Caenorhabditis elegans: one gene and its partner. The protein of the gene in region 2 purifies or fractionates together with the protein of the main gene of each other region. This does not show direct contact. Each region holds a gene or a part of one and is shown on either strand. Other genes may lie near its edges.

The links. Proteins that work in one complex are often made in the same cells at the same time.
Region 1: the proteins of srbc-16 (region 2) and K08B5.1 fractionate together in Caenorhabditis elegans (co-fractionation; one large-scale study listed by BioGRID). This does not show direct contact.

What each region holds. Positions count from the first base shown.
Region 1 is NC_003284.9:16,556,677-16,560,509, forward strand, and holds the start of K08B5.1 (G-protein coupled receptors family 1 profile domain-containing protein), read left to right. Parts: upstream 1-1,757; 5' UTR 1,758-1,767; coding exon 1,768-1,999; intron 2,000-2,262; exon of another isoform or gene 2,263-2,357; intron 2,358-2,566; coding exon 2,567-2,665; intron 2,666-2,708; coding exon 2,709-2,851; intron 2,852-3,498; coding exon 3,499-3,570; intron 3,571-3,833.
Region 2 is NC_003283.11:2,180,046-2,183,645, forward strand, and holds srbc-16 (Serpentine Receptor, class BC (Class B-like)), read left to right. Parts: upstream 1-1,992; coding exon 1,993-2,364; intron 2,365-2,486; coding exon 2,487-2,693; intron 2,694-2,739; coding exon 2,740-2,835; intron 2,836-2,884; coding exon 2,885-2,983; intron 2,984-3,026; coding exon 3,027-3,146; downstream 3,147-3,600. Other genes in the region: cyp-33C1 (CYtochrome P450 family), read left to right, coding at 165-526, 570-874, 933-1,143, 1,253-1,564, 1,616-1,714; cyp-33C2 (CYtochrome P450 family), read left to right, coding at 3,476-3,600.

The sequences.
Region 1 (3,833 bases), on a different chromosome or scaffold from region 2:
GGCTACTATAAAACGTGCCAAACGATCACTTTCCTTATTTTTTGACAGCTGGTGATTGATAGTCTGTTGGAAAACATTGGTTTTTCATGTTTCTTTAATGTTAAAATTTAATATCGGGGAAAATCTTGGGAAATCAGGAAATTGGGAAACAAAATCCAAATCTGTTATTTTCCCTTTTGCACTTTTCGTTATTTTTTTCTGATAAGATCTCTCCGCTATCAGAATCCATAGTAGTGATGCCCATGATAGTATGCTGCTGGCCACCAGGCGGCAAGATCTATCACTTTTCCTATCCCCTCGGACGGATGGATGTCAGCTTCATCTCCTTTTGCTTCTCCTTCTCCACTCTTCCTTCTTCTACAGCAAAAGCCATTCATATCAGTCACTCACTTCTGGAGAGACAGACACTTAGACCAGTTCTTTCCTTCGTGTCTCTACATCTCTCAGGCTCTAGCCCATTGATCGCCGGTTTTGTATTCTTGCTGTGTTTACTGTTAGATGGGCTTAGGAGCTATATTTTAATTTTTAACATTCCGTATGGCTTCGTTTTGTGTAAGCGCATTCAGTCTTCATTAAATTTGACAATTGGCATATAATGCGAAATGTCATGACAAATCTCTCATGGAAAAATTATCGTTCTGAAAATTTTTTTCAATTACATATTTTTACTTTATTTCTTTGATGAAAGGCTGGTATGTTATAAGTGCCTACCTACCGCCTATCATCTGCATATTGTCGTGAACTTCGGTGCTCGGTATTAGGTGCGTGTAGATTCAAAATTTTCCCATTTTCTTATTACAATCAGTTTTTTTAAATTCTAATAAAGATATGTAGGCAGGTAGGTATGTGTTTTTGCTAAGAGTTTCACGGGTATTTTCTTATATTTTGAATTGTCTACTGCTTATTAAAACAACAGAGTTTTCTTCTAATTTTTACCATTTATCAACATCAGTGGTTTGAAGAGTTGGAAACTTTAAAAAAATTCAAACCCCGCCCCTACATTCGTCTAAAATTTTATGTAGTTTTTGGAAGAACCCTTTACTAAATTTTGTACTTTTATTTTATAAATTTACAGTTTCAGTAAATTTTTAATGAGACGTTATAATTTTTTTGTCATATTTTTGTTGTAATAAGGCTAATAATGTGCATTATTTGAGCTCCCATTTATTACAATACACTTTTCAATAATGCACACTTCAGTATCTACTAAAATTCTACTGAAACGACATGAAAGATTCGAAAATTGTTTGGAACTAAAGTTCACCTCTCTTCACCCGCCATCCCATTTTTCTTCTCATTTTTCATTTTCAAATCACCAAGACACAATCATACGCACGATTCTCACAAAACGTAAATTCCCCATTATCGGTCAACCTTTCTTTTCTGATATCAGAAGGAAACGAAAAACAGATTTCAAATGGTTTCTCTCCTTGCATTTGCTTCCTTCATCATTAAAGTTGCATGTAAAAAAATATTTTTGGTTTTACTAGTTGCTAGTAACTTTTTTGAACCTTTTATAAGACCATCTATTTTTATCACAATTAATTCCAAATCCGTCTCGATGTCAATGTCGAAAAAAACCCTTAAAAAGAGATAAGAGAAAAAGATTGACTAAGCCATGATATATCCTTTATCAGCTGATTATCCCCCTCCTTCGTTATCATGATCGCAATCATTGGAACTCGTTTCGTCTTTCTTGGTGTCAACAAAACATTCAATTATGTTGATTTTATGCTTTACTCAATCTTTTAAAATCAGGAAAACGTTATGGACAAGAAGTACATGAACTGCACACGATGTGAACTTTGTGGAACTGCAGACGTCATTTATGGGTCCACATTTATGGAGTATTCGATTCTTCTCCGGTTACTGACCGCTCCCTTGGCAACAATGGGAATGGGCTTGCTATCAGCGACAATTGTCAAAACAAAAGGGATTCATATCAATACGAAAGTGATTTTATTGGTTTTGTGTATTTCTGCAATTATTTGTAATACAGGTATGTTTGCAATTTTTAGTTTACGGAAAACCAAAATCATGAAAGGGGTTTTCTTTAAAAATAAAATAAAATTTGAAAAAAAATTTGTTCCTATAATACTTCTAAATTTAAATGATGTTCTTACTTTACTGTTCTTTGAAACTACACTAAATTGTTTTATATTGTCAAGTTACCTGACGACGAACATGATGACTCATGATTAGTTTCTTAATTTATTTTTCACTGCTACTGATTTATATTTGCCAATCTTCGAACATTTTCTCGTCTCCGTTGTGGTCTAGTGGTTAGGATTTATGGCTCTCACCCATAAGGCCGGGGTTCGATTCCCCGCAACGGAATAACTTTTTTGAATATTTTTTCATGATTGTTTCATTATTGCAGAAAACTTATTACAAAAAAGTAAAACATGTTCATTTTTTATGTCTTCCAAATAGTTAGTCAGAGAAGTACAAAAATTGAATGAGACTGGAAAATTAAGTAAAATGGTATTCAAAAAATTGAAATCAGTACGAGCTTATTTAAGAATGCTCACTTCTTTTTTTTTTGAATTTAACTTTTGATATTCAGGTATAACCGTGGATTGTCTGTATAAATTTTTCATATCCAATGTCATGCCGGATTATATGCAATGTGATTTTCAAGTATTCAGTCCACAATATGGATTAGGTAAGCATCAGTGAAAAATCACATCATTTCAAGTTCGTTTCAGTGATCAGACACATTGAAATGCTTGGGGCAATGTGTCTATCTACATCCTCCGTAGCACTGGCTGTTGAACGAACAGTGGCTACGATTTTTTATCGCAATTACTCTCCAAAACCTACACTCGGATCAATTCTCGTCGTTGTCCAGGTATCAAATTAAAACGAAAACATACGAGAAAAGAAACAGAGGCCGAGTGAGAGATAGAGACGATGATGATGGTTTTTTGAACATCACGTTCCCTTAAATTCTCTCCTATTTTATTTCCCTTTTCCCTTTATATCCCGTCGGCGGTCAGCCATCTCTGATCACTACATTCTAAGAATAGAAGTGGGATCTGCGAGATGAACGAGAAAGAAGTGATAAAGGAAGAAAAATGTTTTACTGATAATATAGTATTTGAAAAAAAACAGAACAATAGTTTTGAAAACGGGAGATGGACAAAAAATGGCAAAATTTTGAAATATTCTCATAAGCTCACTAATATACACAAAATGAAAATTCGTGCTCAAATTTTTCTTACACAACCCTTGAACACAGCTAATTGCGCATAATGCAGCCACATTGCAATCTAGAAAAAAGTACAATCACTTTTTTGGCAATGTGTGCATTGTGCTTCCAAATTGATTTGGATGGTTCTTGATAGATACAATTTAATACTCACTTAATAACACAATTTAACAGTGAAGTATTCATCTGTGCCAAAAATTTAAAGATTAATCTTCAACCATATCATAGGAACAACAAAATGTAGATAGAAAATATTTGCATACATTTCAAATTAATTCTCGTTTCAGGTACTGGTCAGCTCCATCCCATTCTGGAACATCAGACTGCCCAAACAAATGTACCCATATTCACCGCCAGAGGTAAGAATTGAAAAACCTGAAATAAGCAGTTTTTTTGAAGATTTTTTTTTCTTGAACGGTTTTCAAGTTTAATTTATCCATAGAATAACAACTTTGCTAAAGTATCCACAAAGTATTGCTTGTCTGGGAAACTACAAAAAGCGGAAGTACGGTAAGCGCGTTCAGAGCGCTGTTTACATTTCAAAAACAAAATTTTGCGGAAGATTGATATTGTTTCTAAAGCTATAAAATATAGTTAAGAATCACACAATATTCATAAATCT
Region 2 (3,600 bases):
CTGATTTTGCATGTTTAAGAACGTGTTGACACCACATTTTTTGGGAATCATTCCCGCATTTTTTGTAGATCAAACCGTAATGGGACAGCCTGACACTACGTGTGGCCACTTTTTTTTTGTTTTTTTGTTTGTCGATCAGCCTTATTAAAATTCCGACGACTCAGGTAACACTCCTCACATAATGATCAACACATGGGACAAGATCAAAGAGACCTTCATTCGTGACGCCGACACATACACAAACAAGGTCGTACTCCCTATGGTGACGTTGTCCCGCGGCGGCGAGTACGGAATTATCGATTCGAATGGAGCCATGTGGCGAGAGCACAGACGGTTTGCACTTTCTACAATGAGAGATTTTGGTCTTGGGAAGAACTTAATGCAGGAAAATATTCTGATGGAGGTGCAGGATGTTTTTGCGAGGCTAGATGCAAAACTGGGATCCGAGACGGATGTTCCGGAAGTTTTCGATCATGCAGTTGCGAATGTGGTTAATCAACTTCTTTTTGGATACAGATTTATGGGGGTTTCATAGAAATTTTTAGCATTGCCTAACCGATGAGTTTCAGCCCAAAGAAAATGAATATCAGGAATTAAAACATATTATTGATTCTCCAGCGGAAATTTTCGGAAAACTTCACATATTTCTAGCCATGAATATTCCAATATTTGCAAAGCTGTTGCCCGAATCTTTATACGAAGGACCAATCAAAACTTTCCGGGATACTACATTAGCATTTTTTAATAAACAAATTGAGGCACATCGGCACCGAATAGATTTTGAAGATTTGAACTCAGAGAGCACAGATTTTGTAGAGACCTTTTTGAAAGAGCAGAAAAGACGTGAAAGCGAGGGTGATTCTGAAACTTATAGGTAGGAAATATGGGAATATATTATAATTTTGAGCTAACAGTAAAAATTTAAACTTCAGTAATATCCAGCTTTTGAATGTTTGCATTGATCTTTGGTTTGCGGGCCTCAACACCACAACAAACACTATAACATGGGCAATCAGCTACGTTTTGCATCATCCAGAGGTTCAGGATAAGATTCATGAGGAACTAGACAAAGTGATTGGAAGTGATAGGCTTATCACCACAGCTGATAAGAATGATCTTCCGTACTTCAACGCGTCTATAAATGTAAGCACGGGCGGGTTTCTCAACGCGTTTTCAAGGTTTCTAGAGTACCTTTTAGTACACGTTATACTCCAAGTTTAAATTTTACTAATTAATGTGCAAAATATTTCAGGAATCACAACGAGGTATCAACATTCTCCCCCTGAACTTGCAGCACGCAACCACCCGTGATACTGTGATAGATGGGTTCAAAATCCCCAAGGGCACTGGAGTGGTTGCCCAAATTAGTACCGTTATGAATAATGAGGAAGTGTTCCCAGATCCGTACACTTTTAATCCAGACAGATTTATCGATGAAAATGGGAAATTGAAGAAGGTAGACGAGCTCGCCCCGTTCTCAGTCGGAAAACGAAGTTGCCCGGGAGAAGGCCTTGCTCGGATGGAGCTTTTCCTTTTCATTGCTAATTTTTTGAATAGATACAAGGTGAGTTAGCCTATCGCGTTATGAAAACTTTAGATGAAAACGATTTTGCAGATACATCCCTCAAAAGAAGGCCTACCGTCAATGGCCAAAGGCAGCGGACCAGTGGTTGCTCCGAGGTTGTTCACTGCGATTCTAACAAGAAGATTCTAAGATCGCAATGTTTTTGGGTTTCATAAATGCTTAAATTTTATCGCAAAATTTCAAAATTAATTAATGATCTTCCACCTACCTTGACATACTCGTTGCATTTTACCGTGATTTCTGAAGTTTGTCTGTAGGTTGGTGTTTTTCCGGATTTCATAAAACTGACTTCCAAGAAAGTAAATTAATTCAGTTTTTTCTTTTTGTTTTCGAATTAATTAACTGACCGAAAAACATAATTCTTGACTTGTCAAACAATTCATTTTAACAAAAAAAACTAACTGAAAATGAATGTCACAACGCCTGTGATAATCTCAATGATTGGACTTTTACCGTCAATTTTTACATGCGTATTGAATATTTCTTTGTTGAAGCAAATTGAAAGGTTATTTAAATTTTCAGCATTAAAACTTTTTTCTACATTCAAATCCATATTCAGAAAGAAAAAACATTTAATCCTTTTCAAGTTTCGCTTTTTCTTCGATGTAATTCTTGGTGCATCGGTTGTCGCTCATTTAGGATTTTATATTATTTTAACTAGTTTTCACGATGAATTTTTACCATGGAGAAATATGATTTTTTATTTTTCCCTGGTATCTTGGAATATCGGAGCGGCTAGGTCGTTGACCGCCTTGACAATTTCGGTGGAACGTGTGATGGTACGTGCTGTGCTGAGAAACAGCTAAAACTGGTTTTTTTAAAATAGTTTGCAAATTATTCAAAAGAGTATTTGTGATAGAAAAGTTTATAACAACGTAGAAGTCACAAATAGTAATTTCAGGCTGTATATGTACCGATAACCTACCGCAACTACCGCCCGTATTTCCCAACATTTGTGATTCCAATTTTTGCAATTGGCTTCGGAGCTTCTGACATCTTCGTTCTTTTTAATATTTGCGACTACCAGGTCAACGTTCCAAAGGAGTGTGCTGCTTTGGGATGTTGTATTAATGCTTGTTTCAATAAATATTACAGCATCAATAAAGGGGTTTGTTTTCCCGGCTAAAATATCTAGAATATCTCATATAATTAAGACAGCTTATATTTTGACTGTAATGTTTGCAATACTACTATCCACGAAATTATTTTTTCTTAACAAAGACTCAACTGAGCAGAAAACCCTGTCCAAAGTATGTATACCCGATTTTTACTAACCCTTCATAATTTACACTGTTACAGGCTAACCTTCTAGCTCTTATCGATGCGGCTAACGTGATTATTTTTCACTTTTCACCAATTCTGTTTGCGTTTTTGTTCAAGCACTGGTTTACAGCACAGGCGGAGATGATTTTAATCCAATATCTAAATTTTAAATTTTCAGAATATTGGGCCAATTGGAGTGGTATCAAAAATGTGGGGTTGTGCCTTGGAAGCTCTGCTGGTTTTTGGGACATTAAGAAAGAAGAGCGGAACAAAAACGAGCACTGTTAATGTTATCTAAAATGAAAAATCTGAAAAAAAAAATCTAGGCTACATAATAAATATTCTCTATTCTGATTTTTTAATCAGCGGAAAGTGGATGGAATTAGTAGTAAATTGACATTATCTTTTCCCCTCTAATTCTCCCAACAAAATACCTGTAGCACAAACTCCACAACACACTCAACTTCTCTGTGTTATTATTCCCAACGACTACCTCTCCCTTACCTAATACCCCTCTCACATATCTCGACATCTGCGTCTCCACGTGTCACAAACCATGAACACGCCCGGGCGACCGGTACATAAGCGAATAACATTGCGGGCTGGAAATGTCTGATTTCTACAGCGATGTTGATTATTTTGTTATTGACTGTTCTCACTGTCTACCTTGTTTATGAGTTGTATTGGAAGCGGAGGAACTTTCCACCCGGGCCATGTCCGCTGCCAGTTTTTGGGAATTTGTTGTCTATCGC